Sus scrofa: one gene and its partners. The protein of the gene in region 2 interacts with the protein of the main gene of each other region in a pairwise test. Links are inferred from orthologs where the notes say so. Each region holds a gene or a part of one and is shown on either strand. Other genes may lie near its edges.

The links.
Region 1: the proteins of MTUS2 (region 2) and ODF1 interact in binary tests that used the Homo sapiens proteins (3 or more experiments, as listed by UniProt). The two-hybrid records come from large-scale screens. The link is inferred for Sus scrofa from reciprocal best matches to the Homo sapiens genes MTUS2 and ODF1.
Region 3: the proteins of MTUS2 (region 2) and USP2 interact in binary tests that used the Homo sapiens proteins (3 or more experiments, as listed by UniProt). The two-hybrid records come from large-scale screens. The link is inferred for Sus scrofa from reciprocal best matches to the Homo sapiens genes MTUS2 and USP2.

The regions. Positions count from the first base shown.
Region 1 is NC_010446.5:34,514,314-34,525,213, forward strand, and holds the start of ODF1 (outer dense fiber protein 1), read right to left. Parts: upstream 6,289-10,900; 5' UTR 6,227-6,288; coding exon 5,907-6,226; intron 1-5,906.
Region 2 is NC_010453.5:6,033,738-6,044,657, reverse strand, and holds the start of MTUS2 (microtubule-associated tumor suppressor candidate 2), read right to left. Parts: upstream 5,844-10,920; 5' UTR 4,845-5,843; intron 2,430-4,844; exon of another isoform or gene 2,205-2,429; intron 2,006-2,204; exon of another isoform or gene 1,661-2,005; intron 1-1,660. UniProt on the Homo sapiens protein: Binds microtubules. Together with MAPRE1 may target the microtubule depolymerase KIF2C to the plus-end of microtubules. May regulate the dynamics of microtubules at their growing distal tip.
Region 3 is NC_010451.4:46,560,167-46,570,872, forward strand, and holds the end of USP2 (ubiquitin carboxyl-terminal hydrolase 2), read right to left. Parts: intron 7,940-10,706; coding exon 7,889-7,939; intron 7,365-7,888; coding exon 7,241-7,364; intron 7,084-7,240; coding exon 6,972-7,083; intron 6,875-6,971; coding exon 6,764-6,874; intron 6,609-6,763; coding exon 6,544-6,608; intron 6,363-6,543; coding exon 6,259-6,362; intron 6,171-6,258; coding exon 5,878-6,170; intron 5,662-5,877; coding exon 5,554-5,661; intron 5,378-5,553; coding exon 5,263-5,377; coding exon of another isoform or gene 5,257-5,262; intron 5,063-5,256; coding exon of another isoform or gene 4,975-5,062; 3' UTR 3,303-4,974; downstream 1-3,302. UniProt on the Homo sapiens protein: Hydrolase that deubiquitinates polyubiquitinated target proteins such as MDM2, MDM4 and CCND1. Isoform 1 and isoform 4 possess both ubiquitin-specific peptidase and isopeptidase activities.

The DNA of each region.
Region 1 (10,900 bases), on a different chromosome or scaffold from region 2:
CATCTGCAACCTACACCACAGCTCAGGGCAACACCAGATCCTTAACCCACTGTGTGAGGCCAGGGATCGAACGTGCAACCTCAAGTCCTATTTGGATTCGTTTTCACTGCGCCCCGACGGGAACTCCATTTTGTTCTTGTTTTTGCTTAGATTCCCCCTCTTCCTCTCTTCCTGTCACTCTGGCCCCCTCCCTCCTGCAGCAGCTGGACAGGGTCTCACAATTGTGGGTCTTCAGGAAATTGCCCCCAACGTCTTGGCTGGGTCCAGTTTCTTCTACCTTTTGCTTTTAGGTCAGGGGCTATCAGTGGGGATGAGCGAATTCAGGAGAGATTGCAGAAGCCTCATGGTACTCATCAGATTTAACTCTGAACTTGCAACCTGACTCCCGCCTGTCGATGTCCCCGTCACCCCATAGGGGATTTTCCTTGGTTCTGTGGAGTTCTGGGCAAAGGAAGATGGCCTGCTCTTCTCTTTATCATGAGCGTGGACCTTAGTCACAGTAAACAGAGGCAAGGCAGCCTCTTTGGTTGGTGGCAGAAAGCTGGGGAAAAGCCAGAGGGCAGTGCTGTCTGTCTGCCAGCCACTCTGGGCTGTTGCCTCTTCTCCCGACTGAAGCTGGATTTCACTTGAATGTGTGACCAGCTCCTGAAGGTGATTCTGCCCACAGCAAAGGTGAGCGATACAGCCTGCCTTTTGTTCTTCATGCAGGTATGAATCAGGTTCAGCCGGGTGACGAATAAGTAATGAGGACGACGAGAAGGCCTGTCTCTTCTCTGAATCGAATGGAGCCTGGCATTCCTCTCGTTTTCCTTGGCATACTGTCCTTTTTCTCCAAATGTTGACCCCTGCCCCTGGCCCAATAGGCTCGATTGTTCCTTTCCAACACATCTTTCCTTCTCTCTCCTCTCTTCTCCCTCTTGCCATTTCCTGCCTTGTCTCTCTCCTCCTGACTTTTGAATGAGACCAGAGCACAACACGGGTACATCTGAACACTTGCGGGGGTCATTCAAACACAGGTATCTGGACCCCACCCCCAAAGTCTTGACTCAGCCTGGCTGGGGAGGAGCCAAGAATTTGAATTTCTAACAAATTCCAGGTGATGCTGGCTGCGGATCACTCTAAGGATCACTGACCAGGTGGTTAAACACATGGATTCCAGACTCAGGCAAACCTGGCCTCAAGTCCCGGCTCTGCCATTTCCTGATCATCCAGACCACTACCCCTGACTCTGTTTCACCATCTGTAAGGAGGCAAAGCTATTATAAGGATTAGATTGAAGGCACATGCTGGGCACTTGGGTTCTGCTCAGTGAAGTGTAAGTCTCTTTATCATGCTGTACCAGGCTTACACAGCCCTCCCTGAAAGTCAAAGCTTTTACTGACCAAGCCCCAAGTCCTGTGTCATGAAACAGTAAGGTCAAATAATGGATGTGCATTTGGCCTGGATGGGCAGCAACTCCTACTCCTGCCACCCTGGGATGCCTAGACTCCGAGACCTATGGGCACCAAGACATCGTGATGAGAGGGGACCAAAGGGCCCAGGTCCCTTCCAGCTCTGTAGGGACACATAGGGAAATAGCAAGCTCTCTTCTCCGTGGCAATGCCAACCTGCCAGCCGCCGTAAAGCCCCCCAGATTCGTTTCTGCCCTCGGTGTGACTGTGCCCTGCTGTGCCCTGACCTATATGGGTCAGAGGATGGGGGATGGAAAGACTCCCCCCCCCCGGGGTGGGGACCCAGGGAAGCACTGCTAGACCACAAAGAATGCACCCTGAAGGCTGACAGTGGCCCCTGACTCCCACTCCCACCCGCGCCCGCTCCCCCAGTGAGGGCGATTCTGTGAAAAGCATACTCAGAGCGTGAGGGAGAAATGAGAGGGCAAGTTTTTGAAGGTTTTAGAAGATGGTGCCCCTCCTGTAGGGAGTTTTAGGGGAACTTCTTGAGCCGCAAGCCGACCTCAGATACTTGGATGAGTGGAAGGAAGCAGAGTCTCAGGATTAGTTTCCAGGCCCCAGCAAAGGGCAGGTTGAGCCCACTGCCTCCCTAGGTGCAGCTGCAAATCAAGGTTCATTTGCGCATCAGGACTAGAGGCAGGCGGTAGAGATCCTAAACTCCTAAGGACAGGATTGAGGAGGGGCTGGCTTTGGTTCTGCCACTGGAGAACAGAAGACAGGGAGCCTACAAAGTGTGGGGTGAAGCCGGTGCCAACTTCCATCAGGCTGGTCGCATGGCTTCTTGTAAAGGAAACCAAATTCAGTTACTTCAATCTCTAGCAATCCGGAGGCGGAAGGAAGAGTCAGGGGAAAGGCTGGTGCTTGGGGTGCAAAAGGTGCTTTTGGGGGAAAAAGAATATTAAAAGAGCTGAAGAAATGCAAGTACTTACATGGGTCTCTACAGATGAAGATACGGCCAAGGTGTCTTTTGAAGCAGCTGCTCAGTTAAACAATGGAAAGAAATTGGACGTTCTTATGGAGTTCCCGTCGTGGCTCAGTGGTTAACGAATCTGACTAGGAACCATGAGGTTTCGGGTTCAATCCCTGGCCTTGCTCAGTGGGTTAAGGATCCAGTGTTGCCATGAGCTGTGCTGTAGGTCGCAGACACAGCTCGGATCTGGCATTGCTGTGGCTGTGGTGTAGACTGGCAGCTACAGCTCCAATTAGACCCCTAGCCTGGGAACCTCCATATGCCGGCCTGAAAAGCCAAAAAAAAAAAAAAAAGAAGAAGAAAGAAAAGAAACTGACCTTCTGTACCTGGTCTATAAACACTCCACACACACACACACACACACACACACACACACACACACACACACACACACACACACCACTCAAATAACACACACCAGGAAGGCTTAAAAGACTCCTGGCGGGAATTATACGCTCAGCCAAGCACCTTGCCTGTTATTAAAGGAAGACCCAAAGACAGCACACAGACTCTCACAAAGAAAGACAGTTCCAGGGAGGCCATGGCAACTCCAGGCCAAGGAATTCTACTGTCCCATTGGATGAAGAATCTTCTGGATAACACAGCTTGGCATCTGAAAAGGACATGTCATGACCTAACCAAACTGCTAGCTTTCTCTTTAAGGGGTAAGAGGTCCTGCGCCTATGATTTCTAAATGCTAAAAGCCTTGGGCAAGATTTCACACCGGGAGTGGTTTTGAAAAATTGAATCAACATAGTATTTCTGGATCTATTTAGTCATGGTTTGGGAGCTGAGAGATAAGAAAAAAGAGGCATTTTGCTGGAAAAAAATATTAACAGAGGGAGTCCTCTGGGATGAGAGCTGGATCAGCGTTTAACATTTTCATCCATATTCAGAAAACTGAATATTTGGGATTGCAGGTAATACTAAGCTTTTCAGGATAGTGAAGTGTCAAGCTGTCAGAATTAATAGGAGGGCTTCCCAGGGTGGTATAAATAGGAAGAAAAGTGGCTGGGCAGAAATATAAGAGGGCAGGCCTGAGGTCACTTCAGAAATGGACCCTGGGTTATCAGTTCGAAGAACCGGGAATTAATGTAAAGACATCAGCAGCTTGATGTACTCCCTCAGACAACAGAAAAAAAAAAAAATTAGCAAAAATACAGGCCTTGGAGTTCCCTTGTGGCACAGTGGGTTGAGGGTCCGGCATTGTCACTGCAGTGTTTTGTGTTAATGCTGTGGTGCGGGATCTTCCATGTGATACGGACACAGCCAGAAAACAAACAAACAAACAAAAAAACATCCAGGCCTTGTCAGGAAAATTATCACAATCCATAGAAAACATTACCTCTTGTATAAACAAGAATTAAGTATAAAGAGAATTAAGAATTGAATAAAGAGAATTAAGCTTGAAGTTGTATCTACAGCAGGTCATTCATTGTGTAGACTCCTGGAGGAGGCAGAGGGTGCCCAGGTGGTGAAGACCTTACCTGGAGGGTCCTGAGAGTAGGGACAGCCAGGAGACAGAAGCTGGGAGGACTTGGCTCAAGGGTATTCGAGTGTTCAGAGGCTCAGGGAAGTGGTCACAGACCTGCTCACAACTAACCCTTCATTGAGACCAAACATTTAAAAGAGAACCCCTGACTCACACTGCATGGCTTTTATGTAACTGGATACTCTAAGGAGTAAAAATTAAAAGTGGTTCAAGGTGAGTTTCAGACAGCAGAGGGAGGTCCATTTCTGACCTTGGGTGACTGATGACCTGCACAACAACTGCCCTGTCGCCCTTGGGAGTGAAGTATTACTGTCACTGTTTTCAAGGGTCTCATTCCTCTCTCCCTCCCTCCATCCACCCATCATGTTCTTTCTTCCTATCCATCTATCTATCTATCTATCTATCTATCTATCCATCTATCTATCTATCTATCTATCTATCTATCTATCATCTAATCTATTAGTCTATTAGATGAGAAGGATATTGTTTAAGGATACAAGCTGGCAACCAGTAGTCAAGTCCTAGAGAAATCTAATGCACAGTATAGTGAATATAGGCAATAAATACTGTATTGTAATTATCCAACTTGCTAAAAGACTAGAACTTAATTATTCCAGCCACTAAAAAGAAATGATAATTATGTAACATAGCAGCCGTGCTAATTATCATGACAATGGCAATAATATTACAATATATAAGTGTATCAAATTAACAACATTGTACACCTTAAATTTACGCAGTGGCATGTGTCAAATATAGTTCAATAAAAAGACCATCTATCTGTGCCCATCTTTTGAAAAATAGTAGCAGGAGTTCCCATCATGGCGCAGATGAAGCAAATCTGACTAGGAACCATGAGGTTGCGGGTTTGATCCCTGGCCTCACTTAGCGGGTCAAGGACCTGGCATTGCCATGAGCTGTGGTGTAGGTCACAGACAAGGCTCGGATCCTGCATTGCTGTAGCTGTGGTGTATGTTGGCAGCTGTAGCTCCAACTGGACCCCTAGCTTGGGAACCTCCGTATGCCGCACATGCGGCCCTGAAAAGCAAAAAAATTAAAATAATAAAAAATAGTAGTCTATTAAGTAGCTGTTCTGCACCTTGCCTGTCTCACTTAACATGACAATACTTCGAATGCTTCCTTGGTCCTCTTTACATCTACATATCATCTCGATGTATGGATATAACAATTATTTAACCAGAGGACAGTGCTTTCAACCACGTTTTTCATCATAGCAGCAGACTAAATAGCATATGTAGACAGAAGAAGAAAGCTTTCTTAGGTAAAAAATAAAATGTGATCAAAACCAAAAAATTTTAAAGTGCAATTAAAGTTACCCAATTCAATTCAAACTTTTTCAACTCTATTCTGAAATCTGGGTTCTCAGTTCTGTGGTTTATTTGCACAATCTTTACTGCAGTCGAAGGGGGAGGCAGACAATAAACTCAATTCCAGATGAATTTTAAATTGTCTAGAGTTGGAGAATAGGAGAAAGGATTTCCTGCAAAACCAAAGAAATGCCTCTATTGCTCAATTTGCTCCCCTGCTCGTAAAGCCTCTGGCAAACATTAAGGATTTGATCAATTATTATTACTTCTCCCATAGCCATTTCTGTGAGCCGAAGTATACTCAGATCACTTTACTCATAACCAGAAAAAATGTTTAGTTTGCCGCTTCCAATAGCTTTTTAATGACACCCCCTGTTTCTCTCCTTCATTAGAGCCACATTATTTATCACGTTGGCACTCCTGCTATAAGCCGAAAACAACCTTGCCAATCGACATCATTACACTGTCTTTTGAGAATCTTACAATTTCCGTCATGGACCCATTTCATCTTTCTTAAATCTTGGCTAAAGTCACCAGAGTCATTACTTGAACCCATCTCATCTTTGTTCAAGTACTGATTGTCCCCTCTCCTCCCACCCCAACCCCACGCCATTCCAGCTTCGGAGGCTCCTATACCAATTAGAAAAATCTTAGGAAGTTCTCACTTGGCAAGCTCTCTCTTTTCATCTTCTATGGCTCGGATGGCTTTCCTCTCCAAACTTCTGAGAGACGGTCGAAGACAGTAAAGCTTGACATCACACAGGCAACACGGGTAGAGATCGCACAGCCCGCAGGAGCGGGATCGCTTTGAATAGCACAGGCAGTACGGGTACGGGTGCAAGTCACAGCAGCAATAAGGGTGCATGTATAGGTCGCACAGGCATCGCGTGCTGAATTCGTCGATGCATCTCAGCTGCCTTAGTTCTCTGTCCACCTTCTTTATGTCCCTTCTAACACTGTCCAAAAGGCAACTCAGTGCAGCCATTCCAGTCACACCTTATTGCTCTGTGAGTACCTGTGGAAAATGGCACTCGGGGGGAAAAAATTGTTCTAAGCTCTTCTCAGAAGTGTCTTTTAAAAATAAATGAGGCACGCATGGTTCACTTACTTTAAAGCTTGTGTTCTATGACCTCACTGCACTCTAAGTATGTCATAGTCTTTGGTTACCGTGTGAACCGTACACAGCCACAGTCTTCAGAGACTCTCCTTAGAGTCACAGGGCTGCTCTCAGAACCAAACTCATGCTGAGATTTCATTCCTGTTGAATTGGGATGGGTCCCCCCGCCCCCAAGCAGTCACAGGTCTTGGGGGTTCATTGGGCTAAATTTCCCTATCCTGGAATTGTCAGCGTTATGCCTGGCAGACTAGCCAGAGCGAGGCAGATCGTGGTGTCGGGGGATGGAAGAAGCCACCTGGCCCCTCTCTCTACACCCTTCTAGCTCTGGCCTTGACTTGACACCTTGCCTCTTATACTCTAGGATTCCTTCTGGTTGCTATTCCCACTATAAAGATATAAAGAGCTTTCCCATGGTTCTTGTTACCAAGTCATCCTCAAATCAGCCTTTGACTTTGACCTTCTGAATCCTAAGTTTCTGAGTCTTGCCCCTTCTTTATTTTTTTATTTTTTATTTGTTTGTTTGTCTTTTTAGGGCTGCACCTGTGGCATATGGAGGGTCCCAGGCTAGGGGTCCAATTGGAATTGTAGCTGTTGGCCTATGTCAGTCACAGCAATGCAGGATCCAAGCTGCATCTGTGACCTACACCACAGCTCATGGCAATGCCAGATCCTTAACCCACTGAGCACAACCAGGGATCAAACCTGCGTCCTCATGGATGCTAGTCAGATTCGTTTCTGCTGAGCCACAACAGGAACTCCGCCCCTTCTTTATGAACTGCCCATTCCTTCTTAGCTGGCATCCTGGCTATCCTGGAACCTCAGTTCTCCAGTGGCCCAGGTCTCACTCTTAAGCTCCCATTTCTCAGTGTTTAGGGTCCTGGCCTTGGTCACCACCTCCCAACAACCACACCTCTGGGTCCTACGTCCAAGCCTCCAGATGCGTGGTCCCCAAGTGCTTCCTAAATGTTGATCCTTGATCTTCTTATATCCAACTGTCTGAAGTGGCCCAAAGCCAAGTATCTGAAACCCCGACTTGGACCAGTTTCCTGTGCTCTCAGCTGGATCAACATGCAGGGCCTGGGGCTCAGCCTTGGCCTTGGCTCAGCTACTTCTACTCCTCTGGGCCGTTCCCCTCAAACTGCTCTCCAGCTCTCAATTCCCCTTTTAGTGAGCTAAGGCATAGGGTGCTTGAGGACAAGTGGTTGGCTTGACACTGGAGAGGGAGACAAGGGCCAGGTTGGAAGGGACTTGTGGGCCTGCTAAGGAGTTTGAACTTTATTTTGAGCACAATGAAGAATCTCTGCTTTTCTTTTCTGTTGAGAGAAGTGGGAGGCTATGTCCAGCAGCCACACCAAAGGTGCAATGTAAGGGTAACACAGGAGCAGTGTCTTCTGCTGGAAGGCAGGGGACAGCCAGCCAGATTCTGGACGGCGGATGGTGGCCAGAGGGGTAGCCAGGAGGCCAGTTGGGCTGTCCTTCCCCACATCCACTCAGGCCCCACCCAGCCCACTCTGCACATTCCACATTGTAGCCAGAGTGATGTTCGCTTCCCCTCAACCCTACCCCACCCCCGGGCAGAAAAAGCCTTCAGCATTTCTCTGCCCTCTTAGAGGAAGGGCCAACATCCTTACAAGGTGCTGAACAGTAGGGCCTCTGCCTGCCTCTCCAATCGCCTCTCTCATCATTGTTCCTGTCATTCATTATGCTGGAGCCACAAAAGCTTCCTTGAAGTTTCCCATTCCTCCTCTCTCAGGACGTCAGCGCACACTGTTCTGTCTGCTTAGGAAATGAACTCCTCACTCCAGCCCTTGATCCAGTTAACTCCTGAGGCATTCTTTCTTTCTTTCAAAAATTTTTTTTACATTTTTTATTTTTTGTCTTTTTTGGGGCCACACCAGCAGCATATGGAAGTTCCCAGGCTAGGGGTCGAGTCGGAGCTGTAGCCGCCGCCCTATACCACAGTCACAGAAACGCAGGATCCAGGCCACATCTGTGACCTACACCACAGCTCACAGCAATGCTGGATCCTTCACACACTGAGCATGGCCAGGGATCGAACTCGCGCCCTCATGGTTGCTCGTCGGGTTCATTAACCCCTGAGCCATGACAGGAACTCTCTGAGGTGTTCTTCAGATCTCCTCTTAAATGTCCCTCCTTCAAGGCCTTCCCTGTCCCCTAGGCTAAACACTCATAACGGCTTATTTCTTCCATAACATCTTTTGTCTGTTTCCCCAACTAGACGGTAAGATCCACGAGGGTAGGGCCCTATTTTGGGGGGTCAGAAGTGACTCAGAGGTTTCTAGCTTGGCAGAATTGTGGGGCCCTTGACTGAGATAAGAAACACGGCAAGAAGAGTTAGTTTGGAGCACACGCTGAGCTTGAGGTGCTAGTGATCATTTTAACAGAGAAATGGTAAGTGAGCCTGGAAGTTGAGTGAATGCTGGGCTAGAGATATCAATTCAGAAGCCACAAATCCATAAAGAGTTGGAACCCTGGAGTGGGCAAGATCATAGGAGGAGGAATAGAATGAGAAAAGGAAAGGGCTAGATGCAAATGATTGCATTTGGAGTGGATAGCAATGAGATCCTGCTGTATAGCCCTGGGAACTGTATCTAGTCACTTGTGATGGAGCCTGATGGAGGATAATGTGAGAAAAAGAATGTATATCTGTATGGTGACTGGGTCACTTTGCTGTATGGTAGAAAATTGACAGAACACTGTAAACCAATTATAATAGAAGAAATAAAAATTATTTTAAAAAAAGAAAAAAGGAGAGGGCTGAGGCAGGCCACTGAGGGACAATGATAAGAAATGAGGGTGGGGAGTTCCTGTCATGGCTCAGTGGTTAAGGAATCCGACTTGGAACCATGAGGTTGCAGGTTCAATCCCTGGCCTTGCTCAGTGGGTTAAGGATCTGGCATTGCCATGAGCTGTGGTGTAGGTTGCAGACATGGCTCAAATCTGGCGTTGCTGTGGCTCCGGTGTAGGCCCCTAGCCTAGGAATGTCCATATGCCACAGGAGCAGCCCTAGAAAAGACAAAAAAAAAAAAGAAAGAAAGAAATGAAGGTGTATTGGAGCTCATGAAAGTCTCATGGAAGGAATAATCAGATAGGTGAGAGCCCCACATGCTGAGATCCCTTGTGCAACACTAGACCAAGCCCAGCCTTTCCCAGCCTTGACCTAAGATCCCCTTTGTGTGCAGATGAAGTGTATTAGTAAAGAAAACACATTTCCCTGGAGATATTAGAATGCGAGGCTGGAGCCTGAGTCACGTGGGAGGAGTTGAAAACCAAAAATGAATAGTACTTCTCCATGGACAAATGCTGAAGTCTTTCAGGATTAATTTCATCCAATTCTGAAGGTAGACTCTGTTAATAGGAAGACGGCCTACTCTTTCCTGACTGATCACTGTGGGACTTGTGCAGGTTTCTCTAGTTCCAAGTGATGGACTTGTAAACTCTTGTATCACCGTGAATCCCATCCCTTAGCAAATGTCAGCAAAGGTCAAAACAAGCAAGCTCTCAGTTTTAGATTCTTAAATATACAGGTTCAGGAATTTAAATACACACACATCTGTATACACATGGCACATTATGAAGATAGATACTGCTTTATTTTAACTAGGATTCTCCCACAATCCCATCTTCCTTGTCATTTCCCGCTGCATCATGAGGCATATTCTTGACATCACTTCAAGGGACTTAACAAAGGCAGCACGTCCTTTAAAGATCAGATGGAATGTGATCTAGTCATCTCCAAAGGGCAATGGAGAATTCCTCAGAACCTGCAGAAACCCACAGGAAAGATCTAGAGTCACAGTTCCCTGAAGCATAAACACAGGGAGCTTCCATGGGCTCTAAAATGGAGATGAGGGCCTCTCCTTCCACAGGACTGTGTCTGCGGAAGCTCCCCTCCTCCTTGGCTGGTGTCCAGATCGAGCCTCCTAGGGGATGGCGGGCAGGCCTTAGCAACTTTCCTGGCTGGGGAAAGTGGATGCTTGGTCCCCAGTGTTGGTGGAATGATGGGCCGAAAAGGGTCTCCCCTGCTTCCTCCACCATGTAGGACAGCTGTGGGTCAAGTCATTTACTAGGCCGATGTTACGAAGGTATTCCTCTAGCAGTCCTTGAGTAAGATGTGTTCTTTAACATCCAATTCAAAGTCATATACACAGTATGTCCCCACCTGTGTTAACAAGAATCCATAGAAGGAGAAAAACACCCTCAAAAATGAACTGTGCTTATTTCACAGTAGTGGAATTATAGAGGACTTGAGAACTTCTCTTTTCGGAGTTCCCGTCGTGTCTCAGGGGTTAACAAACCCGACTAGTATACATGAGGACATGGGTTCGATCCCTGGCCCCACTCAGTGGGTTAAGGATCCGGTGTTGCTGTGAGCCATGGTATAGGTCGCAGGCGAGGCTCGGATCCCATGTTGCTTTGTCTATGGAGTAGGTCGGCGGCTACAGCTCTGATTGCACCCCTAGCCTGGGAACTTCTTATGCAGTGGGTACAGCCCTAAAAAGACCAAAAAATAAATAAATA
Region 2 (10,920 bases):
TGTTCCCTCTAATTTGGCAGCAGCAATTCATTATAAAAGTCCATGTGCTGGGCTGGGGTTGTGCATCTTCCCCTGTTCTGGCTTCAACAACCCGGTACTGTGTCCATTATGTAAGAGCCAAAACAGGGACTTTAATGGAATACAAAAAGCAGAGTCGTAGTTCTTACATAACCCTTCACAAACCAGCCATAAGATCCGCCCCCAGATCTGGATATTTGGAATTACATAAGGTAGACAGAAAACACTCATTCAGCAGCTAGGTTTATTTCCGACCTTAAAGACAATAAAAGCTTTCTGCACTTAACCTGCTGCTCTGTATTAACATGGGCGAGCTTTGAATTTGATGGAGAAGACTATCTTCACTAAGACACAATCGTCTTCGCACGTAAACATAAAGAAAGACCCTGACACCACTGCTCAACTTCACGGCTACCACTGCACAAAGCAATGTCCCACTTAGGATTCCCTGACAGAGTCTCCATGGAAGCATGGTCCTCAGTAAACATCAACTCAGGACCATGGGTTGTTTTTTGGGGTTTTTTTTTTTTTTTTTTTTGATTTTTGGCAGCTTAAAAAAAAAAAAACTCAAGAAAAATATTTCAACAAAATACAAAAGTGTCCGATGCTATAATTCAACACATCTCCTTTGCAACACCATTTTTCTCTCTCCATATTTCTAACCACTCATTTTGTACTTAAACCACAACTCAGGTGGAGCCACACCTCAGGCTATAAAGGCACAAAATTCAAAGAAAGAGTGCTATCCATCGGGTCTCCCCCCGCCCAACAGTATCACAAGGAAGCTTTCAACGTTGCTAAGGTCAGATGTCACCAAAACGAATTAGACTTGTGGGGAGGGAGTCACAAAAGGACATTCTCGGACCTCGGTATATCTGTTATTTCTACTTCTGTCTTATTCTTTCCTGGAAAAAAAAAAAACAACCATAAATAGGAGCAGAGGTTTAAAGGGTGGAGGGATCTTGAATAACTGGCAGTTCGTAATTACTAAGTTTCCATCAGCTGTAAAAATAAAGTCATTCAATAGTTTACAAGCCATAAAGGGTGTCTGTGGGATCTTTTTATTACCATCCATAAGTAAAGAATTTTCACCAAGTTTCTTAATAGCCTCTACGAAACCTATTTTATTTTTCTAATGTTTGACAACTCGACCCAATGAGTTCAGAGAAAGGCCCTATATTATCCTAAAGAATACGCTTTATTGTCTTCAAGTAAAGTTTTGGCTAAAGCAAAAATTATGACTTATGACTCTGACTTATCTTCAGCCTCTCTTCTTAGATGCTCTGGTAATCACTTTCATAACTTTACCGATGAACACATATTTTTAAAAAGCACTTATATAACAGAGCGTACAGGCGCCTCTGGTATCCTGCCAAGAGCACTTCTTTCCGTGTTTGTATTTAAAATAGAATGGTAGTAACATCACTTGTGTGCCTGAAATTCCTTCTGTGCACAGGCTCAGAATGAAAAAAAAAAAAAAAAAAAGCGGGGGGGGGGATGTAGCAAACCATTTCACTGCTTTACCATTATAAAGCTCAAAGGAACTAGCACATGCCTACTATATTAAGACGAAGACGCAGAACAAATTATCCAAAGCTGGGGGTGTGTGGGGAGGCGGGGGAAAGGATTCGGTTCCACTAACCTCCAGCCCTTCTGAATCAGAGGCTGTTTAACCTGGCAGCAAGCGACGGTGCCAAACGAGCTGCAACACCTCAGCCTGAGCAGGATGTAGGCAGGAGGGAGTGAGTGCTGCGGCGGCAGAAAAGCCAGAGCGAGCCCCCGCTGCGGTCTCTCCCCAACTCCGCGCGGGTTCCCAGAAGGCAGGCACCGGAGCCCGGGCCGACCCGACGGTGCAGAAGAGGATTCGCTCACCTGGGTGGGCAAGAGCCGAGAGAGATGGCCAGGCTGCCACCACTGCCCTTAAAGAGCCCCTCATCCCGGACCAGGCTGCCACACGCCGCCGCCGCCGCCGCCGCCGCCGCCTCCAGCTCGAGTTTTCTATTTGGCGACGGGTCTGGACTCTGCCCACCGGCCAAGGAGGTCCGCCAAAGGGGTGGCTCCAAACTTGCCGCGAGGAGCCAGCCGAGGCGGCGCAGGTGTTGGAGGCGGGGACGCCCCCGCGCCCAGCGCCGGCCCGCCCGCCGGGTCCCGCCGCCCGCCCACGCCCGCCCGCGCCCCTCGCTCACCTCGCGTCGGCACCGCCCAGGCCGCCGCCCCCGCTCGGAGCGCGCCGTGGCCGCTGACGGGGACCTCCGACCGGACGCCCAGGCGCCCCCCGGACGATGCAGCGGCCGCTCCTCCGGCCGCCTCGCCCGGACAAAGAGAAGCCGCGGGGCGGGCGGCGGCCAAGCCCGGGCCTCGGAGCGCGCCGCGCAGCCCGCGCAGCCCGCGCGCCTCGCTCGCGAGGTGCGGGCGGCGGTGACAGCGGCCGGGCGGCGAGCGGGCCCGCGCGGGAGGGCGGCGCGGGGCGGAGAGGCGCGCACCCCCTCCCGGCCGCCCCGAGACGCACACGCCGGGGCCCGCGCCCCGCGCCCGCAGCCCCGCCGGGGAGCCGCTGCGCCCTCTGCCGGCCGCGGGGCCGCCCTGCGCGCGCCGTCCCGCTGCGGCTCCGGGCAGCCCCCACCGCGCCACCGAGGCCAGGAGCCTGCCGGCGACCCCAGCGAGGTGGCCGGTGCTGCAGGGCAGGGGGCTTCGAGGAGCAGGACCTGCGGTCTTCCTCTGAGGGAGAAGAGGGAACGGCTTCGAATGCGGGGGCAGCAGCACGAGTTTGGGCTCAGCACGGGGAACCTCGAGGGCAGTGGGATTCCCGAGGCACGAGGAGCCCGAAATGATCCTCTAGGAAGGTTTGTGGGAAAGGCAGGCTTTTCTTTCTAGAATCGGGTTTAGTTCTATATTTAATAAGCTCCAGTTGTGCCTAACACTGGCCGAGGGGTTCCAGAGACCCTCTCGGTAATAAATGTATTAACCACTTCCCAAAGAAACGCTCCCAGGGAGGCTTGAAAAGGCAGGGGAGGGCTGAGACCTTTGGCTGCCTCTGGTTCAAACAGCAACGCAATAAGCATTATAAAATGGAATCGCTGGTGCTGGTGGTCGCACTATTTAGGTGTTGGGGGTTTTTTAAGAGTAGTGGGCTCTCTCTTTCCAGATCACCATGTTAAACAATGTTTTACACCGGTTCATGTCTGAAACACTGCTGGACCACCAGGCAAAGGGAAATCATGAAACGGTACCTTTTTCTGCACACCACTGTCTTTTCAAATGATTCTAACAGCTCTCCCTTCTCCTCTGGAAGAATCTAGGGCAGATTTCATAGCTTTTCCTGTCACTTTCCAGTGCTAATAAACAGTCGGTTTCTTTGGTATTAAAAAGTCCCATCCAGTCCAAATCAAAACTTCGGTCCCGTTTCCCGCTCTTGCCTCCCACCGGCTCCTCGGGAAACCCAAGCTCAGAAGCCTTTGAGGCCTTTCCCTTCCGGGCTCCACATCCTGGGCCGGCTCGGTGCAGACTGGCTCCTCCAGGGTGGTGGGTGGGGAACCGGTCCTACCCGGGCTCTGGTCCTGGCTTCGGGTCAGCTTCTCTGCGGGTGTCTCTGCGGCGTCATGTGACCTGGCGGGCCGAGCCTTCCTCCTCGGTCAACCACCCGGGTCAGCCATCCAGGTCAACCCAACCATCCGGGTCAACCATCCGGGTCACTGGCACAGCAGCACGCCCTCTTCGTTCCCTGCTCGCAGGAGGCTCTGATCGGCCTCTAGGAAGCTTGTCATGTAGGAGTCAGGAGGCTGCGGGTTCAGGTATGCCCGCAGACCCCAGGTGGTCCACGCCAAGCCCTCTGCGGACTTCTCCAGAAGCCTTTCTCTGCATGCAGTGGCCGTACCCCTCCTCTCCCTCACAGCACTCTGTAATTCTTGCTACCAACCTTCTCCCACTCCCCCCTCTCCCTAAAATTGGGCTGAAGTCAGAACCCTTATGCAGCAAATCCTGCAGAGGTGGCCCAGTGCCTCTATTTAGAGTGTGGAGAGACCTCTTTCTGCGGTGGCCATGGACTTGGGCCTCTCACATCTCCAGAGTGTAACTAACTGATGGGCCTCCAGCAGTCACACCTTTGATCTACCCTGGTGCTCACACCAAGGTCGCACACCCCCCCAAGCCGTTCCCACCAAGGTCGCACACCCCCCCCAAGCTGTTCCCACCAAGGTCGCACATCCCCCCAAGCCGTTCCCAGCCCTGGCTGACTCTGGTGGGAGCACTAGGTGATGGGCCATGTCTGCCTAACGGAGGACACAGCTCTTGGGCAGTCTTTGTCCTCAAACTCTCTATTGTCCTGCCAAGGCTTTCTCAGAACTGCCTCCAGCCCTTAAATTCTCAATGTCTGCTTTTGTTTGTCTTTTTTTTTAGGGCCCCACCCACAGCATACGAAGTTCCCAGGCTAGGGGTCCAATCCAAGCTGCAGCTGCCGGCCTACAACGCAGCCACAGCATTGTGGGATCCAAGCCAGGTCAGCAACCTACACTGCAGCTCAGGGCAACACCAGATCCTTTACCCACTGAGCAAGGCCAGGGATTGAACCCACATCTTCTTGGATACTGCTCGGTTCCTTATAGCTGAACCACAACGGGAATTCCATAGTTATTTTTATTTAATCTGACAACATCCATCTTTTCATTTGTAAATATACCTCATTTAATTACTTATTAATTATTATATAACTATATTAATTATTTGTATAGTTGAACCTACTCTGCCATACAATTGTGAGCTTTCTACCGGTCCTGCTATTTTTTTTTTCCATATTTTCTGTCTCTCTTAGAATGATTGATTGTCCTTACCTCATTTCTATCTTCACATGGCACCACGTCTACAAATCTTGGTTAACAATTAACTCTCTCCTCAGGCTTCTGTTGCCACTTCGCTGACGTCAGCTACTGGTTCAGTTGTTACACAGCATGAGAAGACACAGAAGAAGGTACATATGCTGTAAAACAAATAACACGGGTGAACCCATAACCCAGTCAATCACTTGCATCCATCCTAACTCCTCTGTCCCCCTCCCTGCCCTCGTTCCGCCCCTAAAGGAACCCACATCCTGAATTTTACGCCCTTCATTCTCTTTCTTTTGAAACAATTTCATCACATGTGTGTGTAACTGAATAACATATTGGTGAAATTTGGATTTTTAGGCTTATAAAAATGGCATCATACCTAATGGGAGTCTGCAACTTGCTATGTTCACTCAGCGTTATGTTTCTAAGATTCGCCTGTATTATGGCACATAATTGACGTTCAGTCATTTCTCACTGCTATTAATATCCATCGTTTTCCTATTCAGTTGCTTTCCACTTTTTTTAAAAATTGTGAATTCATATGAACAGCTCATAAAAATCACCTTGTGTATTGGAAAGCCTTCAAGATTATCTAAATGTTTGTGCGGTGTACCAACAGAAGCATTGGCTGTACCAGTGTACGTTTCCACCAGCAAGGGTAAGTGTGTACCCCACTTTTTCTCTTTCTCCCCAACACAGGACATGGCAAGATGGTGGAAATAAATGATATCTCAGTGTGGTCCAACTTGGTATTTCCCTGATGACTAAGGAAATAGAACCACTTTGGGCTATGTGCCATCCGTATTTTCTCTGCTGTGAAATACCAGTCCACATCTCGTGCACATTTTTCAGTTGTATTTAGGCATTTGCCTCATAGATTTATAGAAGTTCATGACATAATTCTTTGTTGATGGTTTATATTACCAATACGTTCTCCCAGGGAATGACTTAATGTTCATGTTCTTTATGGTATTTTTGGAAGAAGTCTTCATTTCATTTCATTTCATTATTTATTTATTTTTGTCTTTTTCTAGGGCCGCACCCGCGGCATATGGAGGGTCCCAGGCTAGGGGTCTAATTGGAGCCGCAGCCGCTGGCCTACACCACAGCCACAGCAACGCAGGATCCGAGCCACGTCTGCCACCTACACCACAGCTCACAGCAACGCCGGATCTTTAACCCACTGAGTGAGGCCAGGGATTGAACCCGCAACCTCATGGTTCCTAGTCGGATTCGTTTCTGCTGAGCCACGATGGGAACTCCTGAAGAAGTCTTGATTTTAAAATAGTCAAATTTATCAACTCTTTCTTTCCTGAGTTTCTATGTGTTTTTAAAGAAATTCTAAGGTTAGAAAAATATTCTCCAATATTTTATCCTAAAAGTATTAAAGTCTGCCTTTCATATTTTTAGTCCTTAATCAACTGGAACTGATTTTTGGGTTTTGTGTGAGATGGGAATCCAATTTCCATTTTATCCATGTGGATACTCAGATGGTCCAGACCATTTAGGAGACAGGTCCTTCGCCCCTCAGGGATCTCCAGTGGCCCTTCTGCTGCACGTCAAAATTCCATTACTATGCAGGAGGCTTCTTTTCTTCTTCTGGTCAGCTTGTCTATTTCTATACCCAGACCCAAAGCTTAAAGGCTGCAGATTCAGCATCGGTCTTTATATCAGGTAGGGCAAGTCCATCAACCTTATGCTTCTTACCTCTTGAGAGCCAGCCTTGTCAATGGTCAGTTTCAATGAAAATTCCATTCAGCTTTTATTTCGAATTTGAAGATAACAACTTCATGATACTGAGTATGTCTCTCCCGAAGGAGAGGGTATTTCTTGAGTGCTCTTCAATGTCCTCCAGTAAGATCTTATCATATCCTGTGTATAGATCTGGCACATGTTTTGTTGAAAGTATTCCTAGAGTGGCAGCGTGCCGGTTGGCTTGTCCCCCATAAAACCCGTGCATCTCTTCCTGGGCCCACAGCTGCCCAGAGAGCATCTGTTCACCCCAGCAGTGACGGTGCAGCCTCTCGTAGCTCCTACCTTGAAAGGATCACTGCCTTCCCTGGACTCAGCTCTCCCTCCCCCTGCCCTGACCGCTGCTCCGCCGTGGGAGTGGCCCAGCTTTGATCATCCAGATAAGTACAGTGATCTCAGGAACCACCTAGCCACCAGCTGAAAGGAGCTTGGGTCACCGGATGACCTCTGAAGTCCAAGAGCCTAGACCAGCCACACTAGAAACTTCCCTCTGATAGGGGCCATGCTATGTGGGGGTATTTGTTACGTTGTGTTGTCTTTTTTATACCCTGTTAGATTCTGTTTAGTGCTATTTTACCTAGAATTTTTACGCCTCTGCTTAAGAGTGAGATTGAGCTGCAATTTTCCTGTATTCTTGTGTTTTTCCTTTGTTTTGAGGCCATCAAATGCATTAAGAACATTCCCATTCTTCCAGTCCCCTGGAGGAATTTACATAAGCTGAAATCATCTGTTTCTAGAAAATTTCGTTGAACTCGTCCGTAAAACCATCTGGATTGTATGTTGTTCTTGTTGGGGAGAATTTCTACTGTAGAGTGATTTGATTTTAATACTTTCTTTATTAATGCGTAATAAGTGCTATCGCAATGCAGTTGTAATTTCCACTTTTTCTATTGCTAATGGACTGGATCATCGTTCCATACATCTATTAAGTGTGGGCTTCCTATTTCGTGCGTTGCCAGTTGATGCCTTTTTCCTGCTGTGATCATTTAGATTCCTTCAGCTTCCCCTCCCACTGCGGGTGGAACACCATTCCCCACCGCAATGACGCTGGCCTCGGCCACACGGCTTGCTTCGGCCAACAGAAGGTTAAGCAGCCACGACACAAGCGACAGGTTTAATTCTGCTTGCTCTCCCTGGCTCATCTCTTGCGCGCTTATCACCATGAGAACCAGCCCTGGGTGCTCCCCGATGAGCACACCTGGAACGGACCTCTACCCCAGCTGCATCCCGGAGCCAAGCCCAGAGAACCTGCAGCCTGAAGCAGCGTCACCCAGGCCAACCTAAATCAGCCACATCAGAGCTGGCTGGCAGACGGGTGCGAGGATGAAGGCTGTGGTTCTAAGCCGCTGAGTTTGAAGGGGATGTGTTAGACGGCAATATTGTAGCAATGGCTGGGTGACACAGTTCTTTATCTATGAAGGTGTTAGAGAGTTCTTACCAATTTTTGTAATTATTAGCCCATATAATTGTATTTTTAATTATTTATTTATTGAAGCATAGTTGATTTACAATGTTGTGTTAGTTTTGGGTGTATGGTACAACGCTTCGGTTTTTTATACATATGTGTGTGTATATATATATACGTCTGCGTGTATATATATATATGTATATATATTCTTTTTCAGATTTTTTTTTCCTTTACAGGTTATTAGAAAATAACCTGTAAAGGAAAACACAGTGGAGTTCTCTGTGCTGTAGGTCCTTGCTGTTATTTACTTTATATGTCGTAATGCATTGTATTAATCCCAATCTCCTACTTTATCCCTCCCCCTATAATTTTAACATATAATTATAATTAGTACGTAAGTAACTTACAACATTATGCTGTATCACTGTAACTAGTACTCCATGCTAGAATTTGTCTTGTATTTCAATGGTGTTTTTTAAATTTCCATAGGAAAACTCTCATTTTTACTTAAGTGGGTACATTTTTTCCTCTGTTAATCTTTGACTACTTTTGACCCTAAACGGTTCCAGTTCTGAGATTTAAAAATAATCAGTTATCTATTTTTCTGAAACATTAAAAATATGTACTCCCCGTAATCTATCTGATGTAAGAGAGGTATATGAATCTTTCTTAGATCCTCATATTTTTTTCCTGATTTCAATGTACTATATCTTAACTCTAAAGTTAATCCCAGTTCCAATTGGAAAAAAATGTTTAAATTGAAAACTCATTAAGATTATATAACAGTCACCCTTTCAACTGACATATTTGTTTTGCTTTCAAGTTTTAGTTAAATTAGCAAACCAGTTTTACTATCCCAATTACTTTGTGTTTAACCGAGCTGAAATGAAGCTTTCGTTTGCTGCCCACTTCCTCTAGAGGAATCGAATTCACCACGGTCATCCAGTGATCCACATCTTTGTTCCTTATTAACCAAAGCAGTGTAATCACTTCCCAAGATTTTCTTACTACTCCCAGTTCCTGGATTATCTTAGGATCCTCTTATCTGCACAGGTGCGATGGAGGAGGCATGCTGCCTCGTTAGAAGGACTAGAAAAGGGCTCTGTGAGCAGCATCGCTGTAGTGAAGGTATCTCCTGGGAGAGAAGCTGTGGCCCCCGTGGAGGCTCCCCTGATTCTCCAGTGGGAACTCGCTTGTCCCTGTGGTCCCCAGGCCGTGTGTGGGTGGGATTTGCATTGCCTTTGTTTACATGTGTGTTCACCCCACGTGACGGTGAGTCCCCAGTTGGCAGTTACTCATGTCTAGGGGTCCAGCACCCACTGTGGTCCTTGGCTTCTAGCAGATGCTCAGTACATGTTGGTTGATTGATCATCTGACCGGAAGCCTGCACTGGGTGATATGAAAGGGACAGTGGGAGCCTACCTCTTTCCCTTTCCTCTCTGTTAGACCATGACCAATATGTAATTCATGTAAACTCACACCAGCTCTTTCCTTTATAGCTCTCATCTCGGTTGTTACTGGAGTGCCCAGGCACCAGGCAGGACATAGGAAAGTGGGAATTTAAAAATTATCCCTGGAGTTCCTTTCATGGCTCAGTGGTTAATGAACTGGACTAGCATCCGTGAGGAGGCAGGTTCAATTGCTGGCGTCGCTCAGTGGGCTAAGGATCCAATGTTGCCATGAGCTGTGGTGCAGGTCACAGATGCGGCTCGGACCCCACGTTGCTGTGGCTGTGGCGTAGGCCGGTGCCTGCAGCTTCTATTCGACCCCTCATCTGGGAACATCCATATGCTGCCCGTGTGGCCCTAAAAAAACAAAAAATAGAAAAAAAATACATAAATAAAAATAATCCTGAGTGTCTAAGTTATTCTAGCACCATGATGTACTGAACCGAGTGGGGTCGGGGGCTGCTTAGGATCCAAGTCCAGCTCCTCCCCTTAATACCCAGCTTAGAGGAAGTCACTTCATACCCCAGGGCTGCGATTTTGCCATCTGGGAACGTGCCACTGCCCTGCACAGTCCTTGGTTCTCTACAGGATGACGGTCACACCCCGGGGGCACTGAGTGCCAGCTGTCAGTTACTGGATTAACAACCTTGGGCAAGTTCTTTAACGTCATTGATGCTCAGTTTCTCTAGAATGAATAATACCCACTCTTGCAAAGTGGTTGTGAAATGTAACTGAGGTTGGGTAGATGAAGCATGTGGCACTGTGCTTCGCCCACAGGAGAGTCTAGACCGGAACCTCAGTCTTATTCATCTAGCCCTGTCCTTACACACAGCGGATGCTCACCTCTCTCTCTCTCTCTCTCTGTCTCACACACACACACACACACACACACACACACTATGGTAGAACAGGTGCAGACAGCACAAGTCCAATTTCAATGAATTTTCCCCATGGTTTTGGTACCCTCATTGCCAAAGAGAGAGGCTATCTTAGAGTCAGTGATTTCATAGTCGTGTTAAATTCTTGATGTCTTACAATCATTTAAAAATATTCTCTATTACTCAGTCATTAAAAAGAATGTAATACTGTCATTTGCAGCTACATGGACAGACTTAAAAGATTCTCATACTAAGTGAAGTAAGTCAGAAAGAGAAAGACAAATACCGTAAGATATCACTTGTATGTGGAATCTCAAATATGATGCAAATGGACATATCTATGAAACAAAAGCAGACCCACAGACATAGAGAAGAGACTTGTGGCTGCCAAGGGGGAGGGGAGGGAGGAATGGAGTGGGAGTTTGGGGTTAGCAGACGCAAACTATGATTCATAGGGTGGATAAACAACAAGCTCCTACTGGAGTTCCCCTCATGGCTCATTGGAAAGGAATCTGACGAGCATCTCTGAGGACGCAGGTTCAATCCCTGGCCTCACTCAGTGGGTTAAGGATCCAGCATTGCCGTGAGCTGTGGTG
Region 3 (10,706 bases), on a different chromosome or scaffold from region 2:
CTTTTGTTCATTCTTAGGACCAGCAGTATAGGTGTGCCTTAGGACTCGACTTTGCCCCAACCCGACCCGATATATCAAACACTCCCTCCTCTCCTTGTTCACGGCTGCCCCATTCTTGATGCTCACCCCCTGGTTTCTGGATCTTCTCTAGTCTCCAGGAGCCTGGAAGACTGCAGCTCACTCCCAGCCAACCCACTGCCGCCTCCGAGAGGCAGGTCACACCAAGTATCAGGAAATCAGGAAAGCTAATTTCTCGGCTTTGGAAAGCCCATTTGGTGGCTCTGCCTCACTGACTTCTGTGGGTTGGACAATGTTGTATTTACTTTGAATTCCTGAGAAGTCAGGAGCATCCCGAGAGGCCAGGGGAACTAAGCATTTATTGAGGATCACCCACTAAGAGAATCTCAGTAGAGCATGGATTGTGTGGTCCTGGAAACGGAGGTGAGGTGCGGGAAATGGACCTTTGTTGAGTACCTACTATGTGCTGGACACTCGTAACTCAGTAGCTATAGTTATGCTCAGATTACAAAGGAGGAAATGGAGACTCAGAGAGATTAAGTAATTTGCTTGGACTATAAATGCTAGTCTCTTTCTGCTGCCTCCTGCACAGGTGTTTGTGGCCAAGAGCAGTGAAGGACTGGCCCCTCAGAAGTGCACGCCCAGCCCTGCTTAGTCCCAGGTATGTGACAGATTGTGCTGGGTTTGCTCTTGGGTAAGTGTGAACCTGTAGAGTCAAGGAGTTCCTTGGTCACGTTGCTGTTCAGATCAGTTGCTAATAGACACAGGGCTGGGAAATTTGCTGCTGAAAATCCTGCAACATTTTGGACCACATTACTGTCAATTATTGGACCCAAAGGCAGAGCATTCAGGTGGAAAGAGATCTGGGTGGGGAGACGAGATCCCTGGCTTCCATCCTGCCTCTGCCACCGATGAGCTGGTGGACTTGAGTGGGGCTTCTCCAGTGGACAAGCTGACCTCTATGGTCCAAACTCTGAAGCAATATGCATTTGCTAAGCACTGGTCACTTTAAAACATAGAAACTCGGGAGTTCCCGTCGTGGCGCAGTGGTTAACGAATCCGACTAGGAACCATGAGGTTGTGGGTTCGATCCCTGCCCTTGCTCAGTGGGTCAAGGTTCCGGCGTTGCCGTGAGCTGTGGTGTAGGTCACAGACCTGGCTCGGATCCTACGTTGCTGTGGCTCTGGCGTAGGCTGGCAGCTACAGCTCCGATTCGACCCCTACCCTGGGAACCTCCATATGCCGCAGGAGCGGCCCAAGAAATGGCAAAAAGACAAAAAACAAACAAACAAACAAACAAACAAACAAACAAAAAAACATAGAAACTCTATAAAGTGCAGCCAGGGAGCCAGCGGTGGCAAGTCCCCTAACACAGGACTTGTATTTAGGGAAAAAGTGACTCAGGATGAGAACACGTGAGCTGAGACCTTTGAGATCCTCTAGTCCAATCTCCTTAATTCACAGATGAGACACTAAAGCCCAGAAAGAGGGAGGTTCTTGGTCAAGGTCACACAAGAGCAGGTGCAGGGACACTGCCTCCCTGAGGGAGAGGCCTGCTGGAACACCAGCAAAGAATGGGGAGAGAAATCCCAGTTGCTAGGAGGCAAAGCTTTTGGGTAGAGAAACACGGGGCCAGGTTGTGTGTGGGGGACTGTGTAGCACTAGGACCTGTTGCCATGGGGAAGAGAAAGCACCACAGGTTAAGTACAGAAAAGAGGGCTGCGAGCAAAGCTGGAGGGGGCTGAGCCCCTGCCCTCAACAGCTACCTATAGTCTGAATATTCCCCAGTAGAAGCCAATGAAACACACAGGCGGTTTCCCCCTGCAGTGAAACACTAGGCGCAGGAAGGGTATGGCACCTTACGCTAATCCGGGGCTCAGCTAGCCATTTTGCTCTAAGCCTAATGTTTCCATTTTGAAGGTGATCCTGTTTACCTATGGTGTGAGGGAAATCCTCAGTATTTAACATCGTATCCTGGGTTAGGCCCCTCCCAGCAGGTGGGGGAGAAACTCCAGGCTTGAGTCACTCTTGTTTTCAATCCTTCTTGGGAAATGTACAGAAAAAAAGCACCGCCCCCCTCCCACCCCCCAGCACTGTCTCAGCCCAGGAGTGGGGAGTGACAACAGGTGCCCCTGATTCCGCGAGGGAGGGAGACACAGACAGGCCTTGATTTCTGTGTCTGGAGCAGGGATGGCAGGAAAAACCCCGATAAAATACTCTAAGCTCAGCTGGTGAAGACTTTTGTTTTTCAAGTTCTAGGATTGGTGGCAGAAATGAAAAATCTGAAGTCCTGAGGAAAAAACCAAAGGAGTCACATCCCTGGGGATCCCGTGAGGCCCTCCCTTCGAGTTAAATCTGGTGCCATCTTGGAAGCAGCACTTTAGCACAAAGGCAGCCGTTTCCAGGTATTAGTGGGGCAAGTTGAGATCTTTTGGTTAATTTACCAAGAACCAAACCTCGATCACTCCATATCCAGGAATAGCCACTCTGCTCCAAGAGCAAACTTGGCTGTATTCAGCCTCTGCTGGAGAGGCTTGTCTTAGCTCGTCAGAGGTCTTTACAGACACCCAAGTGTGTCAACAGAGAACCACCAGAGTGCCCATACCAGCAGTTAAAAAGCAGACAGTCTATTTAAAGAAATGTCTATTAGAGATGCTAATTTTCTTAAGTGGGAAGCCAGAGTGCCAGATATGGGGAGACACGCTGGGGTTATCTAGAAGTGCTGATAGGACACCTCATCCCTAAATGTTTGCCTCCAAAAATGAAGTATACATAAACTAATGTGGTAAGATGTTAATTTTTAGATTATTTTCATAATCCACCCTTTATTTGCTTTTTAGGGCTGTACCCGAGGCACATGGAGGTTCCCAGGCTAGGGGTCGAATCAGAGCTACAGCTGCCAGCTTACACCAGACACAGCAACACAGGCTCCAAGCCGCATCTGTGACCTACACCACAGCTCACGGCAATGCTGGATCCTTAACCCACTGAGCAAGGTCAGGGATCGAACCTGAATCTTCATGGATCCGAGCCACAACAGGAAGACCCAAGATGTTAATATTAACATCAGTGAATCCAGAGGAGGAATATACTGTTCAAAATATGTACTATTACAGCTTTTTCACAGAATTGAGAAGTTTGAACTAAACAGTGTGTAATTTAACTTTTTCCAGAACGTGGAATTTACCATCTGGTTGAAGCAATAAAATACCTGGCCACTGACAGGTTAAGCGCTCTCCCTGGGTTCAAACCCCTCCCAAATCAAGATTTCGCCACTTACCAACTCATCTCTCAAAGCTATTATTTATTCTGTACAAGGTTCCACTGTACATCACACATTCTACTCTTGCTTACACAGTAAACAAGTGTACCCCAGCCCTTTGGCTCAGGTTCACAGGTCTTCCCTGGAGAAGCGTGTCAGGCCAGTTAAACTCAGGGTGTGTTTTTTTCCGGATGCCTCCTGGGAGCTCAGGAAAGTCCTGGGTTCCAAGGGACACAGGCAGGGCCCAGCTGTGTGGGTGTGCAGAGAGGTCCAGGCCCAGAGCCCGGTTCCTGGGTGCTGAAGGGCTTCTCTCCTGGGACAGCACAGAGTTTTGCCCAGCTGTGTAGGGCACAATCACGCCCATGGCAGAGAATCATACAATTGAGGCAAGATGTCCCCAAACACCCAGGCTCCAGCTCCCAGGCCGGACTGCAGACTGATGCCAAGAGGAGCCGGGGGGTGGCATGGGCATCCCTGAGAAACTCGGTCCAAAGGGCCTATGCCAGGAGGTTCTGAGAAGGGGGCTGGGGCAGGAAGGCGGAGGAGAGCTTGTTAAGGGGGAATAAATTAAAGGGGGGAGAAGCTTGAGGGTAGGGGGCTCGTGCTATCCTTCCAACAGCTGGGGAGCAGACCAGGGGCGGGTTAGAGGAAGCAGGTGGGCAGAACTTGAAACACTATCAGAAATCTTTGACCTACTCTCCTCTTCACCTCACTGCGATGCGAAACGAGCCAGGGGCTGAGGGCAAGACCCCGAGCTTTCCAATGGCTCTGAACATGGCACCGGGGAAAAGGGAAGAGGCTGTGGGATATTTCAGGGAGGGGCAGTCACCCCCTGGTCCCCAAATGCTATAAGGCACAGTTCTTGGAGGCAACTAGATTCCATCCAAAACATTAAAAAAACAAACAAAAAACTTGTCAGATCCCAGATCTACTGTGGCTGTGTTTGGGGTCTGGCCAACTCCCACCTAGCACCACTGGGGGCTAGCACTAGAAAATCTGTATTTGAAGAATTAAAAAAAAAAAAAAAAAAAAAAAAAAGGAAAGAAAGAAAAATGACCAGCACGACGTCCCAGCTGTGAAGAGGTGTCAAGGAGAGCATCTCCAGTCTGAAAACTTTAGTTATGGTAATTTTTTAAAAAAGTTGGGCTTCTAAAAACCAAAAACAGCTTTTTTTCAAAGATGTCCCCTCATCTGTCCCCCTGGGGTTAGCAGCGTTAAGAGGGCTCTTGGCTCACAGGTGTTTTCCTTGCTCCCGAACCGGTGAGCAGGGGTCCAGGTGAGGAAGGCGGGGCGCTCCCGGGGGCGATCCTCCCCGCAGGCTCTAGAGGGCGCTGTCTTCTCGGGAGGCCGCGGCCGCGCAGCGCCGAGGTGCTGTCTTCTCCCCACAGATGCTGCCGTTTCTCACACACAGGAACGAGCTGCGGGTGTGCAAATGCAAACAGCCGAGGGGCGCCGCGCCCGCTGGGTCTGTGTCCTGCGGATCTTCCCTGCCAGGCCGGCTGCGGAGCGCCCGGCTCCCGCCTCCAGATCCCGGCCATGCTGCCGCAACTCCTGCTGGCAGCTTCATTTTCCTTTATTTTTCTTATACGTCAGGGTTTGTTTTTGTTTTTTGTTTTTTTTTTTTTTGTCTTTTTAAAAAACTCAGGGTGTGGGGCTACCACGGGGAAGGGCGGACGGGACGTAGCTCCTGGCTGCTACATGCGGGAGGGCGGACTGGCCAACTCGTAGAAGAGCAAGTAGGCGTCGCTGGTGCGCACTTGGCTGGAGGACATGGGGGAGACGCTGCGGAGAGAGCAGGGCAGGTCAGCCTGGCGGAGGGGGGCCGTCCCAGATCTAGCAGACACCCCTGCCCTGGCCCCCTCTCCTGCTGTTTTCTGGAAAGTCTCCCAGGGGCAGCGACACACCTTCTGGCCCTGACCTCTTCTGGGTGAGGTGCGGGGGTCTGACAGCCGGGCCCGCCCCGAGGCCTGTCTCACCTGGAGTCATTGAAAGTGTGCCATTCGCCCGTGACGGGACTCCGGCAGTAGGCTGTGTAGTGGCCGCCCATGGTGGTTCCGGAGTGATTGGACACAGCGTACAGGTTGTAAACAGCATGGTCTGAGGAGGAGGCAGAGCGTGTCAAGCCCCCAAGGCATCCCTCGCCCCTCCCGTCCCGCCTCTGCACCCCGTGTCCACATCTCACTCCTTAGCTGCCTCCCTCCCCCTCCTGGCCTCCCATCTGTATCTCAGACACTTGTGCCTTGCTTCTGCCCTTCCAGCTGAAAAGTACTCACTGATGTTTTCTGAGGCAAATTCTCGCAAGTCCAGGTCTCTTAGTGGGAAATTCACAAATGTTGTGAGCTTGCTGGTTCGTATCCTGGATTCCGAGAACCGCTTCAGATCTGGCATTGATATGTGTCAAGGACAAAGAGGGTAACAAGAAGAGTCAAAGAAAAGGAGACGGAGTCCCTGAGGGTGACTGCGAGTCTCAGGAAGCAGACTAGCAAACAAGAGAAGGAAGCTTCCTTGTTTCCTACTCTGTTGGCCCTCGCCTTGGCCCCTGGTCATCGGCCACTCTCTACAAGTCACATCCCTGCCCTGATGGATCTGAAGGATACGGAGCACCAAGATCTTTGGGAACCTCTGGACGGAGAACTTCTTTATACAGCGTTTTCTGGCTCGGCAGCGACAGCACGTCTGAAAAACACGACAGACAGGGCTGGCAAGGACTCACAGAGAGGTCGACAGCCAAATCCAGCAGCTCCCGTGCCAGTCTGCCCCCGAGAGGGCTCTGGGAGATGAGCTTTCGCTGTCTTGGAAGGTGACTTACTGGCTTCTCGTCGCCATCCAGCACATCCTCTTTGGTGAAGAGCCTCATGCAATCCATTAGAGTCACCTCGGGATAACCTCGCTGGAAGAGAGCAAGGTAAAGGTCAGAGGTCGATGACATGGAAAAGTCATAGTGGGTCTTTCAACAGCGCAGCGGCAGGGGTACATACCTTAGCAATGGGCAGGGAGAGGTCCCAGAAGGGGTCAAAGACTGTAGAACAGTAACCACAATCCGTACACGTCAGGGAGCTCTTCAGCTGCCCAACAAAGAGATCTGGAGAAGAGACGGACACGAGGTGCTTAAGCACCAAGACTCCTCCCTCCTCATGGCTCCTGCCTCAGGCCTTTGGTGCCGGGCGCTGGGCAGCAGAAGGGGTCCCTGGGAGAGCAGGCTTCTTGTGCTCTGCTCAGGCAGGTCCCAGGACAGGCGGGTGTTCCCCCATGCCCGCACTTACCCCCGATCCGACTGTCTTCCCGTTCTAGATATTTCCTCCACATCTGGCGCCCTTTCTCATCATCACTAGGACCCAGAGAGAGGAAGACAAGGGGGTCAGTGCTCAAACCATGATAAGTTTAAAGGCCCAGCCATCGAAACCCTTAATATCCAGAATTCTCCCCACTCGTTACTCCCAGAGAAGCGGGCACAGTCCTGCCCCCAGCACTCCTCCTGCTTACGGGAGATGGTCGAGGCCCTCGGGACTGGACTTGGGCCTCACTGTGACCCGGTTCACCTCGTTGTGGAGCCCATCCAGAAGGAAGCGAAGAAACTCCTGAGCGTCCTGCTGACTGAACCCGAAGAAAGAGAGTGAGCAATACCTCTTGCCCCTGGGCCCTGCTGCTGCCCCCACCCACGGTGCGGAGGATGTGTCCCTGAAGCCCTTACTTATAGCCGACGAAGCGCGGTGCGTATCTCTGGATCTGGGTCTTGAACTCAGAGGGGCTCACCACATCATTGGGGGATGAGGTCCATATGGTCTGGATTAGTTTTGCAAACTCTGTAGGAGTGAAGGACACATGGACCATTTTCTCTAAGAAACTAGGGTCCCCACAAAGAGAAGCCAAAGGGAAGAAAGAGAGGCACATATAACACATGACTAGAGCGCAGCACTGGTGGAGTGGAAAAGCATGCAGTGTCCAAGGATGGGCCCTCACCTTCCATGAGGGCCGTGTGTGCACTGCTGCTGTGGCTGAGGTCCCGCATGTAGAGCCTCTGGAGGCAGTAGTCTCTCAGCTCCCGGGTGTTGCTCAGGCACTGCAGGATGGAGTTCATGAAGCACTGCAAGAGAGCACCCAGGCAATCAGCAGCGGAACAAAGACCCCTGTCTGGCGTGTCTTTTTACTTAATACCTACCCAAGGCCCTCTGGTTCATCTGGCCCAGAAATGGATCCTCCCACAGCCTCAAGTTCCTCTTTTTGTAAGTGAAAGCGGTGAAGTGAGGCAAATTCCCACTGCTGGCACGGGTGACGTAACTGGGCATTTACTACAGAGGTGTACAAAAGGGTGTGGGTGAGCCGGACAGAAGTGGGTGGGAAGTGATGGATGTCCTTGCGGAGAAGAATCCAGAAAAGGAGCTAAGCTGAGGGTTAAAGGGACAACTCCTCTTTAGCAGTACTCCCTGCTGGGGGCAAGGAATGAGGCAGAGCCCAGCCATTCTGTAAAACACCAGCCAGGAAGGGCAGGTACCAACTGGCCTAGGGGGTAGGGAGTCAGCTGGAGCCAGGAAGGGACCCTGGTTAGATGGTCCCACTTGGGATGGTAGGGAGTGGCCTCAGGAAAGAAGTGGGCTGGGAAAAACTTACCGTGTTCCCAAGGTTTCGAAGACCAGCCAGACCCTGGGCGCTCTTAGAGTTCTGTAAGCAAAGAACACGTGGCACATAAGGCTGCAGGAAGAGGCCCGGCCTGTACTAGGTTCTCTCTGCAACCTTCTGCCAGTTGTAGCCACTAGAATCAGGTCGCACACAGTATTGTCTCTTCAACTTTAGTCTACGAATGTTGTAGGAAAGAGGGGTGAGGAATGCCTGTCCTTTCCAACACACAGCAAAAATATTCTTCACAACAAAAATACTTTGCTTTCCTTTATCGACTATGTGTTTTCTCTCATCTTTATGTTACTCTTCGTTCTCTGCCATATCGGAAACTGGAGATTAGAGCCAGCGACTCGGTGTTCACATATCTCATTCCTGGCTCCAAGAAATCTCAGGTCCCAAATCCAGGTGCCCTCTCAAATGACCCTACATTTGTACCCCTAGATGTCTGATAGATAAAACAGCTGTCATCATAAGCTCCTCAAGGAAGTCCTGCAAAGTTCAATGACAAACACCTTAACTGAGTTTAGATCTCCAGCTGGGGAAAAATCTCTAGTTGGCCTGCTATTCCGACTTGCTGGAGACAGGTGGAATTCCTTCTAGCTGAGCTCAGCCCCTAAGGGCCGATGGAAGCCTGGGAGAATCCTCCCTGCCTGGTTCAGGTTTCAACATCCTCACTGGCCACTGGCTGGGAATCCTTCCGATGGCAGATAGCGGCCAAGCAGAGGTAAGCACCTGGCTGAAGGTGCTACTCTTGCTCCTGTTCCTATTGTGGAGGCTGGGGAGCGGGTGGGGGAGAGAACAGGTGCTCAGTTGAGGACTGTATTGTTTGTCCAGATCTCTTGGCTAATCCTGGCCCAGCCTCCAAGGAGTCAGGAAACCTCCAGGCTCAAAGGGTTAAAGAGATGAGCCTGCCACCCTCTCTCTCAGGGAGGGGACCCGGGAGGAGGCAACTCTGGAGCAACGCTGGCTGGGGCATGCGTGGGGCCAGCTCAACCCTGATCAGAACAGGAGCCTGAAATAACTCAGCTAAAATTACTCATGCCGTGTGCTGTCAGCAGCTCAAAGCCCATGAGGTTGTCAGCATAAGGGGGTGGGGTTGGGAAAGGTAGGCTGAAGGAGGGCTTTTTTCAGGAATGGCCCTGTTGATCCCACAAGTAAGATCCCTCCTTGCCGATTACTAGGTCTAACACTAACAGGTAGGGAAGGAAACACCTAAACCCAAAGAGAAACCTGGTGTCCATCTGTAGCTAGAAAGAAAAGCCTACTGGCAGCAGGTGGGGTAAAAGCAGCCACCGAAGCACAAAGCAGGGTCTGAGTCCCAAACACAAAATTTAAAGCTCACCTTTCTGACATCTAAAACCCTGATGTGCCAGTCAGAGTGCCACAAGAGAGAGAACTCCCTGGACAAAGACCTTAGCCGCATTTGGAGGACGACTTGGGGCCCAACAAAAACAATGACGTCTCCGTGTCGCCCATTTGGAACTAAACATTAAAGCCTGCCCACGACCGAGTACCTGCTTCTTCCCCAGGACAGACAGCCACTCTTCCACCTACTTCTGGCAGCACTTTACCAGTTCTCCCCGCCCCCAGACAACACCTGCCTACACAGGCCATAGGAGCAAAGCATTCTCCCGCTGGTGACTGTCACTGTTGGCCAAAGTGGGCCCTCGGCTGAGACAGCAGTCAAGAAGCACCGGTGGGGGGGGGGGAACAATAGGACTGGAGTCATCTTTCTAATGAAGCATTCCTGTGGGGTTGACACTTAACTGTGACCCAGCTGAGGGAGGGTCAAGAAGAACAGATCACCATCTATGATTGCTACTCTTAAGGATCTAACCCTACTTATGGCCCGGAGGGTGGAGAGATGCAGGAAGATGAGGTCTCCCTGCAGCCACTTTCTCAGTTCTGGGGGTGAGCTCAAAACTACTTGCCAATTTCTGAGTATCAGGGTAGAAGGCAACTGGGTAAGAGGAGTCAGGGAGTGGGAGTGGAGGGGAGAGCAGGGCTGTTCTCTGTTCGGCCAGATATTCTTTTATGTCCAGCTGTGAAGAGGAAATCAGGAGCTCCGGGGAAAGTCAGCACTTTCCATTCCAGAGAGGAACAAAATGTTCCAGGAGTGACCTTTCTTACCGGGAAAAAACAATCCTACCTCAGGGCTGACAGGGAGAGGCTAGAACTGGAGAAGTTGGGAGAGACCCTGCACAGCCAGCCTCTCACCAGGAGAGAAGGAAGTGACTCCAGCTGGGATGCTGGGACTCAAGTGCAAAGGGCTGAGAAAGTTCGGGGTCAAGAACTGCCTTAAAATTAGCCCTCAGCAAACCTAACTTGACTCAGCAACCACTGTTCCAGAAAGTCGATGCCACCTCCAAAGACAGTAAACACACAACATTCACTTCCCAGGGAAGGAGCAGGGAGGCTCAGCAAGAGCCCCCTCCACAGAAAGGCCAAGGAATCATCTGGGAACACGGGCCATCTAAGAAAGGCTGATGGAGGTTTGCGCCTTCACAAACCTAGAGACCCCAGGAAAGAGCTTTCTGGCTTACTTCACCTGTGCCATGAGGGTCAGCCATGAGTCCTGGCTGCGGCCAAGGAGCCTGGTGTGGCCCTGGCACGGGGCAGTGCACGCACTGCCAACACGGGAGCTGGTGCTGTTACATAAGATCTGTCAAGCTCTGGCCCCTTCTCCCTTCCCCGAGGGGGCAGTGCCCAGCCTTTAGCCCCAGCATCACTGGGGTGGCTACGTCATTTGAGGGATCCAGCATGCACTTAGCAGAACTGGGGAGGAGAAGAAGGGATGTTGACCTCTTTC